Linked DNA regions of Neurospora crassa OR74A. The protein of the gene in region 1 purifies or fractionates together with the protein of each later gene. This does not show direct contact. Links are inferred from orthologs where the notes say so. Each region holds a gene or a part of one and is shown on either strand. Other genes may lie near its edges.

Evidence for each region.
Region 2: the proteins of NCU03018 (region 1) and NCU09843 purify together in Saccharomyces cerevisiae (affinity purification with mass spectrometry, with the first as the bait; 4 studies listed by BioGRID). This does not show direct contact. The link is inferred for Neurospora crassa OR74A from reciprocal best matches to the Saccharomyces cerevisiae genes UTP18 and UTP15.

Annotation. Positions count from the first base shown.
Region 1 is NC_026501.1:8,425,986-8,430,243, forward strand, and holds NCU03018 (small nucleolar ribonucleoprotein complex subunit), read left to right. Parts: upstream 1-1,458; 5' UTR 1,459-1,744; coding exon 1,745-3,616; 3' UTR 3,617-3,794; downstream 3,795-4,258. Other genes in the region: NCU03019 (hypothetical protein), read left to right, coding at 311-464, 542-825, 889-1,200; NCU03017 (hypothetical protein), read right to left, coding at 3,844-4,233. UniProt on the Saccharomyces cerevisiae protein: Involved in nucleolar processing of pre-18S ribosomal RNA and ribosome assembly.
Region 2 is NC_026505.1:5,922,475-5,931,041, forward strand, and holds NCU09843 (WD repeat containing protein 57), read right to left. Parts: upstream 3,760-8,567; 5' UTR 3,578-3,759; coding exon 1,907-3,577; 3' UTR 1,478-1,906; downstream 1-1,477. Other genes in the region: mak-1 (mitogen-activated protein kinase MKC1), read left to right, coding at 1-252, 314-927; NCU09844 (amidohydrolase), read right to left, coding at 5,110-6,089, 6,154-6,340; NCU09845 (hypothetical protein), read left to right, coding at 6,690-7,067, 7,133-7,483. UniProt on the Saccharomyces cerevisiae protein: Involved in nucleolar processing of pre-18S ribosomal RNA. Required for optimal pre-ribosomal RNA transcription by RNA polymerase I together with a subset of U3 proteins required for transcription (t-UTPs).

The DNA of each region.
Region 1 (4,258 bases):
GCTTGACTCCGTTAGTCACTTCTCACCAATGTCACGGTGCAATTTCAATCTCACGGCAGTATCTTGGAAGCTTTCTGATTTCCTTATTACATACTTGTGCTTCCCTTTCCCATCTCTTATCTTCTCTCCTTTTCGAAAACGTCAATCTGAAGATCTTTTCATCCATACGTTAGGTTAGTTAGCTGTCTGTCTTATCCAGGATACGCCCAGTTGCTGTCCGGTCTACTCCTTGACAAGTGCATTTTTCTTTTAGCTCCCTTCGCATTCCAAGGACTTGACCCGCCGAGATCGTTGAATCACATTGCTGAGAATGACACAATCATTGTCTCTCGCTGTGTTTGCAGCTGCGGCACTTTTTGCGACTAAGGGTCTTGCGAGCAACTTTACCGTTAGCAATGGCCAGATTTTCACCCCTGGTTTTGTTATCGTCGATTCCCCCCAGCCGGACACGCCTCTTGGCGGAGGTTAGTACTATTAGTACCCGGCTGGCTGTCGGCAAAGGACTTGAGGACTTGCTACTAATAAGCTTCAACTTGTGTAGACAATGTCGAGATTGCGCTCGATGTTTCTGCCAATGGCAAGCTTCCTCTACCGCCCTACGGCGACGACGCTTCCAGCCAAATCTACAACATCAACATCTTCCTTTACAGCTACGTAACGGGCCGAAACTTGACCATCACCAACGGTACTGCGTCGGCCAACAATGCCACACTCGGTGATATCATGCTCTCCGAGCCTGGTAGCACCGTGAAGCATGTCCGGTGGACATGGCCCGACTGCATGGTTGGCGATGGTACGAATGGGAACGATCGTGGCAGTTACAATGTGGGTTTTCCAAATAGTCAGCTTAAGAGTGTGTTGATAGCCATTTCACTGACAATTCAAAAGATCTCCATCCACCAACGCTTCAGACTCAATGGCGAGAACCACTACACGATATTTGATCTTCCCGTCTCTGTGACCAACAGCATCAGCAAAAGCGACGACCGCCCGTCTTGCCAATCACTTGATAACCCGTTACTGGCGCCCGAGGACATCGATTGGACAGACACTAACGAACTCGGCGCCCTCTTTGCTCCTGGTGATTCGACGGTTATTGAGACGTCGAATGTTGGTAGTGGTGCTGGGCTGGCGAGCTGCAAGCATGCACTTAACTTGTTGTGTGTGGTGGGCATTAGCTGTGCTCTGTTGTTAAGCTAGGCTCTAGACTTGCTTGTCGTCCAATAATCAAAAAGGTGGCTGTGAGATGACATAGAATCATCTGCAAGGATACCAAAACACCACGTACTCTTCATGCATATGTTCTTTTTGAAATCATATATTTGCTCTGCGTGGCTCATAATTTTAGTACTAGTTCGTGTCTGGTCAGATTTATTGTCTTCGAATGAGTTCACATAAAGTCATCTTCATCACAAAGATATTGTTAATGAAAGTAGCATTGAGGCATCAGATAAGTTTAATATATGTTTATTTTTTTACTTTTTTTTTTGTAGGGGTACTTCAAACTTATTCCTTGAACAAGGCTGGCGTGCTTGTGATAGCAAGTGGGTCCAGATTAAGTGGGACAGGATCTGCGATCTGCAAGGCTGATAACGAAAAAAAAAGTTCCCAACCTCAAAACAAACCAAACACTAGCGACTGGTCGTGGCATTTCCGTCCATTTCAACTCCATTTAACCAGGACCGGATCTCACAGCAAAAGTTCCCGTTACTGGGCTTTGCGCAATCTCCTAAATCAGAACAAAATGGCGCCACAGACGAAAGACGAAGTTTCCGACGACAACGAATTCGTCGGATTCGACGAGGAGAGCGATGAGGAGATGCACGACAATGATGGCATGTCAGTAGACGACGACGACGAGGACGACTCCGATATGGATTCAATTGCCGACCCGAGGAAAAAGTACGATATTGAAGAGAAGGACTCTGACGAAGAAGACCTCGAACGATTCGTCTTGGGCAATAACGACACCTTCCGCGCCCAGCTTTTCCGCGACGATTTCCTCGCCGATATTACCGATTCCAAGGCTCTCATTAGGACCGACAAGCAAGATGACACGACTGGCCTCGAACATGTCGACGATAACGCCCTCTTCGCGTTCGATACTGGCGTTCCCGGTAATAAGAAGCAGACAGAGGCCGCGCCCTCTGCGCTAGAGGCTTACGAGCAGAAGGAGGACCCCCCAGCGTGGGAGGACAGCGATGACGAGCGGTTGACAGTATCCCTTGCGGCTGCCTCGCGGTTGCGCAAGCTGCGTCAGTCCGAAGAGGAGGATGTCGTGAACGGCACCGAGTACGCGCGCCGCCTGCGCTCGCAGTACCTCCGACTATACCCCCTTCCGGAGTGGGCCAAGGAATCCTCGGCCGCCAGCCAGCGCCGGAGGAGAAGATCTTCAGCCGCCGGTTCCTCCTCCGAGGAAGACAGTGACGCCGAAGACGACATCGAATCCGCCCTCCCTCTCGAGACCTTCCTCCGCGACGTCAACTCTTTCAACGCCAGCGCCGATGCCCGTGGCAGCAAGCGCCGCAAGCTGCGCCCCGAGACCATCGACATTCAGCGCTCGCGCGACATCCCCGACATTCACAAGCAGTCCGTCAGCTCGTTGTCCTTCCACCCCAAGCACCCCATCCTGCTCTCGTGCAGCGTCTCCTCCATCATGTACCTACACCAAGTTGACCCGACCGCGCACCCGGTTCCGAACCCGGCCCTCACGTCGGTGCAAGTCAAGCGCACCGACCTTCGGCGCTCCGAGTTCCTCGGTCCCGATGGCGACGACGTCATCTTCGCCGGTCGCCGGCGCTACTTCCACAGCTGGAACCTCTCGTCGGGTGCCGTCAAGAAGATCACCCAGATCCAGGGCCACCAGCGCGAGCAGCGTACCATGGAGCACTTCCGTCCCTCGCCCTGCGGACGCTACCTGGGGCTCATCGCCTCCGAGAAGAAGGGCGGCGGCATGATCAACATCGTCAACGTGCGCACGATGCAGTGGATTGCGCAGGCGCGCACCAATGGCCGCGGCGGCATCTCCGATTTCGCCTGGTGGGGCAACGGCAACGGCCTCTCCATCCTCGGCAAGAACGGCCAGGTCACTGAGTGGAGCATGCTCAGCCGGCGCACGGTCGGCGTTTGGCGCGACGAAGGATCGATCGGCGGCACGGTGATTGCGCTGGGCGGGCAGAAGGGCACCGGCCCTAGCCAGATTGGTGGCGATCGCTGGGTGGCTGTGGGCTCGAATAGCGGCATTATGAACATTTACGATCGGAATGATTTGGTTGAGCCTGTTAAGAAGGAGGGTGGTGCGTCGGCGTCCAAGGAGGAGACAGTGCAGATTAAGAGCATCCCCACCCCGCAGAGGACGTTTGAGCAGCTCACGACGCCCATCTCAGTGGTGACGTTCGCGCCGGACGGTCAGCTATTGGCGTTTGGTAGCTTCCACAAGAAGGACGCGTTAAGGCTGGTGCACTTGCCTAGCTGCACCGTTTACAGGAACTGGCCTACGGAGCAAACGCCTTTGGGTAGGATCACTGCTGTGGCGTTTAGCCACCAGAATGGTGGTGATGTGTTGGCGGTGGGCAATGATGTGGGCAAGATTAGGATGTGGGAGATTAGGAGCTAGATCTGCGCATTGTGTAGTGCGTTGAGTTGGCGATAAAATAGTGCGGAGTATAAACTAGTGGTAATCTAAGGGTTTGAAGGTTTTGGGCCATGAAATTCTGTCCAGCTCGTCTAAAAGGTTTCAGCAAGTGTCAGCCCTATGGCAACGATATGTATTCCCATGCTTCTCCTTGTACGCATGACATGCATCAAACCACGTCTTCAGAGGCATCAGTATCCCCTCAATCCTCAGGTGCTTCCAGTTTCCGTTTGCTTTACCTCCTTCTCCCTTTGCGACTTCTCCTTTCCCTTCAACTTCGCCTCCTTCTTCTTCCCCAGCCTTTCCTCTCTTTTACTCTGCAACTTTTCCTCCAAATCCGGATCGAAAATGTGCTTGAGCATCGCGTGCTCCGGCTGATCTTCGATGACCTTATTCCTGGGGTAAATCTTGCGATGCCCTATTGAATACTTTGAGAGCGCCTGAGGTGTTGTGAATCGCTGCGGCCTTGACTCCCCCCCGGCCTGAATGATTCTATCGGTTTCAAGGACATCATAGATGTTGACGTGTACGGCTTTAATGGCCTGGTGAGGGCGAAAAGAAATGGGTATCAGTAATGGCCGGTTCCCCGGTAGTGTGGCCTAGAGCGAGAAGGGACCAAAGAAG
Region 2 (8,567 bases), on another chromosome or scaffold:
TCCAGTCCTTCATCTACCAGATTCTTTGCGGTCTCAAGTACATCCACTCGGCAAACGTTCTGCACCGTGATCTCAAGCCCGGTAACCTGCTGGTTAATGCCGACTGCGAGCTCAAGATCTGCGACTTTGGTCTTGCGCGTGGTTTCTCCGTCGACCCCGAGGAGAACGCAGGTTACATGACGGAGTACGTTGCCACGAGATGGTATCGTGCTCCTGAAATCATGTTGTCCTTCCAGAACTATACCAAAGCCAGTATGTCTTTTCCTCAAGCTGCCCCCTTGATATCGTTTTCAGGCTAACACTCATTCCTTAGTTGATGTATGGTCCGTTGGCTGTATCCTTGCCGAGCTTCTCGGTGGCCGCCCATTCTTCAAGGGCAGAGATTACGTCGATCAGCTGAACCAGATCCTGCACATCCTCGGCACACCGAATGAGGAGACCCTCTCCCGTATCGGCTCTCCTAGAGCTCAGGAATACGTCCGCAACCTGCCTCCCATGCCCAAGAAGTCCTTCCAGCAGCTCTTCCCCCAGGCCAACCCCGACGCCCTCGATCTCCTCGACCGCATGCTCGCCTTCGACCCTACCAGCCGTATCAGCGTTGAGGATGCTCTCAAGCACCCCTACCTTGCCATCTGGCACGATGCCAGCGACGAGCCCGACTGCCCTACCCCCTTCAACTTCGACTTTGAGGTTGTCGATGATGTCGGCGAGATGCGCAAGATGATTCTCGATGAAGTCTTCAGGTTCAGACAGCTTGTGCGCACCGTGCCCGGTGGTCAAGGACAGGGCGGTGCTCAACCCCAGGCTCCCGCTCAGGTGCCCATGCCTACTGATGTGCACAGCCAACAATGGACTGCTGAAGATCCTAGGCCACATGAGTATGGCGCGTACAACGGTGGCCTGGAGGCCGAGCTTGGTGGCATGTAAGCAATGACGGAAGGATGAAACCTTTCTATATACGATAATGAGAACGAAACGCTGGTTCGGCAAGCATCTGATGCTCAAACACATCTTGGGTTGATGCCTTGGCTGCAAAAAACAGAAAAGACGACGACATAGTATTATCGTGTTGGAAACCCCCCGAGAAGGGAACGGCTCGCCATTGAGGCGGTCTTCAATGACAGAGTGGGACAGCAGTTCTGGTCGGGCTGTCAACAGTCAGCCCTAGGAAGGCACTTGGAAAAGCAGGCGTCAGAGGCAGACCGGGAGTTCTTTTCGATGTCTGGCCAGATACCAGAGGGTGGTGAGTGGCTCACCGGAGAGACTCTTTCTGTATCTCATTCTATTCTCCTAGTCAGGAGGGAGGACTATGACTAAGTGGAAAGTTGAAGCGATCTTCAGCGAGGACTTTGGAGCGAGATGTTTACGTTGTCATTTATAGTCATAATTCTATTGGATACGCTGAATGTTGACACTGCAATAAAGCTCTTGATCGTGGTGGCGTCGTCCAGAAGAGTCCATGGTCACGCAATAAGCCTGGCATTTGGAATGGCTTTTACTGATTCTCCTAAGGTATCTATCTCGAGGTATCTAGTCCCAACCCCTTATTTTATGTGACCGTATGTATACTTTTGTGAGCCCAGATTAGTACAAAAAGCCAAAAAAGAATGTTTGAACGCCGACGCCATGCAGGGCTTGATATCAAGAAAAAACCATGATACCTAACCGAACCAAACCGAACCAACACATCCGGGATCCTTTACCCTCTCCATTTTTTTCCCCCTTCCCCGTCCTTCCTGCTTTGTGGTATAACAACACATCCCATCCGTTCTTTACATCTTTCTTATGCTCCATCCATCCACACAGCTCATCCGTATCTTTCCATTCCCTTTCCCTTCCAACCATCATGACCTTCTTCTGGTCAAACTGCAGCCTCAAGGGCCTTGTCCGAAGCTCGCTCAGCTTCCTAAGCCTCAGCACCACCAATCATCAAACTCTCCACCATACCATTCGTGATAATCGCCATCTGCGCCTTCTCCACCTCCCTGCTCACCTTACCCGTCATCACAGCAAACTGATCCGCCAACTCGGAGCTGCCGCCCACGTACTCGCTGTAGATATCAAACAGCTGGAACGCCACGTCCACGCACACGGTCGCGTACCGCGGATCCGAGATGTACTTGATGACCCACTTCAACAAAGGCAGGACAGTAACTTCGTCGCGGCCTTCCAGGGCTTCGCGGAGGGCAGACCGGTGGCGCAGCGCCACCAACACGGACAGGGCCGTCACGGGCTGGTATTCCGGAGAGGACAGGTCGAGCACGGCATCCAGACAGGCGGCGTACCGGCCCTCGCGAAAGTCGCGCTGCCACGGCTTGAGCTTGACGCGGCGCTTGCGGCCTCCGGCGGAGTTGGGCGCGTCGGTGGGGATGATCACGTCGACGTTTTCGCCGAGCAAGGCCATGGATTTGTTGGAGGCGGCGTTGCGCTTGCGCTTGGCTTTGGCGGAGTCGATCTTGGCGAGCTTGGAAGAGGCACCTGAAACCATGAGCGCGTCTTCGGCGGCGCGGGCGCGGGCTTTCTCCGCCGTGGCGCCTGACAAACGGGTGCGCAAGGACAAAACGCCGGATTGCATGCCGACTGCTAGGTGGCGGTCTTCGTGGCCTGAGCCAGCGGCGACGACGGAGAGAGAGAGGATGGGCGAGGGGTACTTGGAGCCGGAGACGACGTTCCAGTTGGTGGTTTCAAAGACTTTGACGTGCCCGTCGAGAGAGCCGGAGACAACGCGGCGGCCGTTGGAGGCGAGGCTGAGTGACGTGACGGTCTTTTGGTGGTTGGTGATGAGGCGTAAAGGTTTGGCGGCCACGAGGTCGAGGACGGAGATGGCGGAGCCGGTGGCGGCCAAGAGGGTGGTGCCGCCGGGCAAGGGGAGGACTTCCTCGATGGGGTCGGCGTGCTTGAAGGTCAGCACGGAGCCGGCGGGGGCGCGGGCGTCCCAGACGCGGACGGTCGAGTCGTAGGAGCCGGACACGAGGAGGTTGTTGCGGTCGGGCATGAAGGCGCCGCTGCGGACGTAGTCCTGGTGGCCGGCGAACAGGCGCGAGGGCGCGTTGGAGGGCAGGTCCCAGAGACGGACCGTCTTGTCGTCGGAGCAGGACATGAGCGTCGTCAGCTCGGTAGGTGACCACTTGGTGACCCAGACGGGCTGCTTGTGGACGTGCCAGGTCTTGAGGATGACGGCGCGGGTGCCGGTGCCGACGTCGAAGACCTGCATCTTGCCGGAGTCCTCGCCGGCTACGAGGACGCGGCCGTCGGCGCGGATCTCACCGCTGTGGGCCTGGGAGTCGAAGCGGCCGATGGTCTTGAGCAGCTCGCGCTTGCGGATGGAGAAGATGTCGACGCGGGGGCCCGAGGTGACGGCGAAGAGGTCGTTGGTCTTGGCGGCGGCGACGAGGGAGTGCGAGGCGGCCGAGCCGTTGCTGGAGCCGGGGAAGCTGATGTGCGAGATGGGCCATGCTGCCGTCGAGGTGTGTGATTTCTGGTTCTTGAAGGACTTCCAGTAGCGCTGCTCGGCCGTGATGGGGCTGACGACCGTGGGCAACTTGAGCGTCGCCAGCGGCTGCACTTCGGCTGCCATGGTTACGGATTGGTTATGGGTGGTAGGTTCGTTCCGTCTAGTTCGGGTAGTGTTGAAGAGAGGATACTCGGTTATCGGAATCGGGGGAAGTCGATTAGGGTCGAAATCGGATTGGGGGAGGGAGGCACGCGTCGAGGTCTTGTCGTGGTGGTGACTTTGCGGGGCTCAAAGTTCACGAATTGTTGAAATCTCCAAGTGGGAATTTTAGTTTTTTTGACGGCGATGCGATGCAAAAGCCATTGGTTGGAGCCATCGATTGGAGGCCCCGCCAAGCCGATAAAGTTTACCTACAGCGACTAGGTACCATAGTGACCAGCCCCAGGCCAGAAAACGCCAAGCTTCCAGGGTCCCGTCCTCTTCACAAGTTCCTTCTTTTGATTGGTCTGCTTGGGCTTCCATGTCGTGTGAATGTTTGGCGTTATCTTATCGTGCTGCATCCCCGCCGTCGTGATTGTAAGTCGTGTAAGTTGTCGCCTTTATCAACTGGAGACAGTCGACTGACATATAATTAATTGACTGGAGTAAAAATCCAAGAGTATTTTGATGCATGACACGCTCATTGACAATCATCATCTCCTCGGTATGTGAATCTATGATTAACATGTCATTAGGGATGTGTATCTGGAGCATTGGCCTCGAAATGGTAGCGAGTTGGTAGTCTAGTAACCTGTTGCTGACAACAACAACAACAGCGTGCGTATTGATGATGACTTGAATGTTTTATCTAGCCACAGATGTATTTATAACGAAGCGCGTATGAAAACTACTTGAACCATGAGCTAAGCTTAGAGTGAAGACGGAGAATATCAATTACAAGTCACAACCTTTTCTCTTTACACTCCATTCAGTCAATAACAAGCGCCTGGACAACTCGTATGAAACTGATAACGGTTTGTGCAACAAAAACACCAACGTCACAAGCCGGCTACTCGCAGTTTGTTTTTTTTTTTTTACTCGTGACTTTGAGATGAGAAAACAAAATCATCAAGAGATGAAAAGAAAAAGAAAAAAAGATCAAACTTCGGAGATCATCAAACGCGCTGGCTGCTCGTCGTGATGGAGAAAAGCAATGTGAAACTCGCTTCTCATCCGATCACATGATTAATTTCTTTGTCATGACTGCAACTCAGTTGCCGAGCAGATGAGGTTGAAGACACTGCACCCCCGAGGCGGATGACCGACGAAGGAGAAGGAACACAATGAAGTCTCAGGGCCACCAAAGTGTTCAGGTTGTCAAACTGAAGTTCTAGTCTTTATCTACAATCTGGTGCTTTAACATAGTTGGATAGTATAAGTTATGACGACGACGACGGGGAGGCCCGCTGATACCTACCCATACTGCTGCTGCTGCTAGAGACATGGTACTACTCCTACTCGAATTCTCCTTGAGACCTAGGCCTAGAGGTTTAGATCACGGCTAATTCATGATATAGATACAAGAATAGCGGACAGAGACATGCCGTGTATCCTTTCATTCCTTTTTTTATTTATTTTATTTTCTAACACCGTGAAACTATATTAGTAGTCGCGACCTAAGCATAGTAATTCTTTGATAGGACATTGCTTAAGCGAGGAAACAACTTTAACGCAGCCTCCGACGCAGCGGACTGGACAAATGCCTCGTCCTTTTCCGCGCCGTACCTGTCCAGTCTTGCGTTCATATCTGCAATAGCGGGCGACGGCGCATAAGGGAAATCGCTACCATACAGCACGTGGTCCGGCTTTGCGAACTCCTTTAACAGCGACAGAGTATGGGAGCCCGTCGACAATGCTGTATCAAAGTAGAACCGCTTGGCGTCCTCCATGAACTGGTTGGTAACGTCAGTCGGGTGGTGGCCCTCCTGTGCTGCTACTGCTGCTGCAACAATGGGGGGCGCAATCGAAGGTGGAAGGTACGGCAGTACCGCGGCTGGACGCAGCGCCAGGTAGGGCAAGGTGCCACCGGCGTGAGAGAGGATGATCTTTACGTCGGTGAATTCACGCATGATGCCCGAGATAATCAGGTCGACGGCGGTACGGGTAGTTTCGTGAGGATAGTCAATCATGGGCTGCGGAAGCGAGGGGTTGACCCAGTGGGTGTCCACGGGGTGCGTTGGGTGAACGAAGACGGTGGCGCGGCGTTTGTTGAGCAGGTCCCAGGTGGAGCGGAAGTCCGGGTGGCCTAGATAATGGTTGTCCGATCCGTAGCGAGTGTACAAGATGATGCCGTCGGCCTGCAACTCATCCAGCGCGTGGATGATCTCTGTATGGGCAGCCTCGGGGTCAAGCAAGGACGGAATAGTAGCGAAAAAGCCGTAGCGGGCTGGCTGGGCCGCACGGATCTCGGCGGCCGCTTGGTTAGCTTGTCGACAAAAGCCAGCCTGCTCGACGAGGGGGAGAATTTCAGCACCGGGAGCAGTGATGGTAAGAAAGGCAAAGGATATGCGTTGCTCGTCATTGAAGGACAGGTCCTTCTCCAGGCTCCAGTCCGGGATGGACCATCCCGAGGGGTCACCACCGTTAGCTCGTAAGGCTATGGCAACGTTAGCACTTCCATGGAAAAAGAAAAGAACGGATGCAAACCGCCTTGGACGCACCTTGTGCATAAAACTCCGGGACAAAATGGTGGTGAACGTCAATTCGTTGAGAAGTCATGTTTTCAGGGGCGGGCGCACGTGTTACGCTAGAGCACTGAACAGTCCGAGTTGGAAGAAAAAGAACCAGCAACTGGAGCAGGTTGGCGGTTGAAATTCTGGTCTGCATGTCGACGGGGTATAGTGACATGCCTCTGGGGCTTATATACCAGCGCGATATCACGTATACTTGTCCAGGATGTCGATAGTATGAGGATCTCGGAAAAGTGATGTACCCCAAGGTATCAATAGCTCGTATAGGGATCTCAGAAAAGTTGATATACACCAGGATGTCGATAGTATAAGTAGGGATCTCGGAAAAGTGTATACTCGGAATGCCGATGGTATAGGGATCTTATGCTATACCGACCTCCCAAACTAGTTGAAGATAAAAGAGGAAAATCGTCTATTCGATAACGCATTTCCCACACTCTTTTATATGTCCTCAAGCCTACCTAGAAACCCCTCTCAAAAAAACACCTTCACGACACAGTTGCATCATGTCCAAGCCGGTCATCGTCATCGTGCCAGGTGCTTGGCAGAAGCCCGTCGTTTGGAATGACCTTGTGCAACAACTACACACCGCAGGTTTCGAGGCTATCCATGTCGAACTGCGTACCGTTGGTAGCACAGCGACGCCTCTCCACCGTCTAGCTGACGACGTTGCAGCGGTGCAATACGTGCTCGGCGAGCTTGCCCGCCAGGGCAAGACAGCCTTGTTGTTGGGTCATTCCTCCGGTGGCCTAGTTGGCAGCAACGCGATAAAAGGCCAGGACAATGTCATAGGCATGATCTATTTGGCCACCTTCGCGATCCCTCATGGCAAGGCTTTGCTCGATATGCTCGGTGGAAAACCTCTCCCGTGGATGGAATACAAGGTAAGTCGGTCCGCCATTGTGTGTGAGTCTCACGTCAGCTGCAACTATTGCTAACTGATCAAAAGGGCGACCGGGTTTTCGGGCGTCAAGAAATGTTGGCTGACGTTATGTTCAACGACCTCAACGCCGAAGAACAGCAGAGATGGATGACCGAGATGACGCACACGTCAGCCGCGCTTTTCGCAACGCCCAGTGGCTACGAGCCTTGGAAGGATGGGATACCTTGTGCTTACATCTTTTGTGCCAAGGACCATGCGCTACCACTGGCCGCCCAGCAGAAAATGGCGGCGCAACTTGGACCAGAGGCCAAAGCCGTCACGCTTGAATCAGGCCACTGCCCTTTTCTGAGCATGCCTGAACAGCTGGTAGATGCTATTCAAATGCTCGAAGCGCAAATGCGAGGGACCTATTCATAGACCGCACCGTTTCTAGCCTTCAAGACTCCGCCAGTCTCTCTCTTCTCCTCTCCACTCCACTCCATAGCAATCAATGGATCTCGTTGACGATCCCATACTCTTAGTATAATTTGAAAAAGCGCAGTACAGGCCAGCCTGTCTGTAAGAACATGCTGGCTCAGGCTGAATGATCATTTTCGTTTCATGGACTTCATCGCGTCCACCGGCGCCGTTCTTTCGGAGCAATAAAATAATCGCTTGATGTCCTTGCGCTAACCGCCCATACCAGGAACTAGTCGCAATGAGAGAAAGCTTCCACCGTCGAAACCAGCGGCGCCGACTCCTGTAGCCACTCAGCCACTGTTTGGTAGGCACCCGTTGGGACGTGTCCGGGACGATCTTCCCCGTGTTCCCGCTTGCCGGCCCCGTCCACGTCTGGGGAGTGGGGAACCTCGTGGCTCAACAATGCTGGTCCGATGCTTGCGGCAGGGGTGCATCCATGCATACATTCCGCAGGGTTCACCGAGGGTTCACCGAGAGGAGACTCGGCGGCGGCGGGTGGTCTAAACTCTATCACAGAGGAAGAGAGCTATGTAGTACCCGCAGCTAGGGCAGTCGTCGAAGAGCTCTTTTGTACATGGGAAGGATGTGGCGCGCACGTGCCAGGCCTGATTCGGGATCGCTAGACTGAGACGAGACAGGCGGGTTCGCAACTAGCATCAGGCGTATGTTTTGATATCGAGGCATATCCAGCCTCATGATGGGACGAGGTCGCGCCGGACGTGGCTGGTGGGCGGCTGTTTGGATGGCTGGGCAGTTGCCCAAAACCTCGTGTGCTTGTGGCGGCACCACAGAACCATATGTACTAGAATCAAGCCAAAAGTTGCGATAGACGACGAGATGCACCGTAAAGGCCGAGAATGTCTCGATTGGGGACGCGACGGTAGGCGGGTTAGGGAACATCAAAGAGCTGGCAAAATGGGCATCGGAGTGCGGGCGACATTGGGGCTAGCGGGCTGTAGATGAGGGAGCAGGAGACGAGCGAAGCATGGAGATGAAGATGCGAGAGAGGGACTGAAAGAGGGACGTGGGAGAGGAAGGGAGG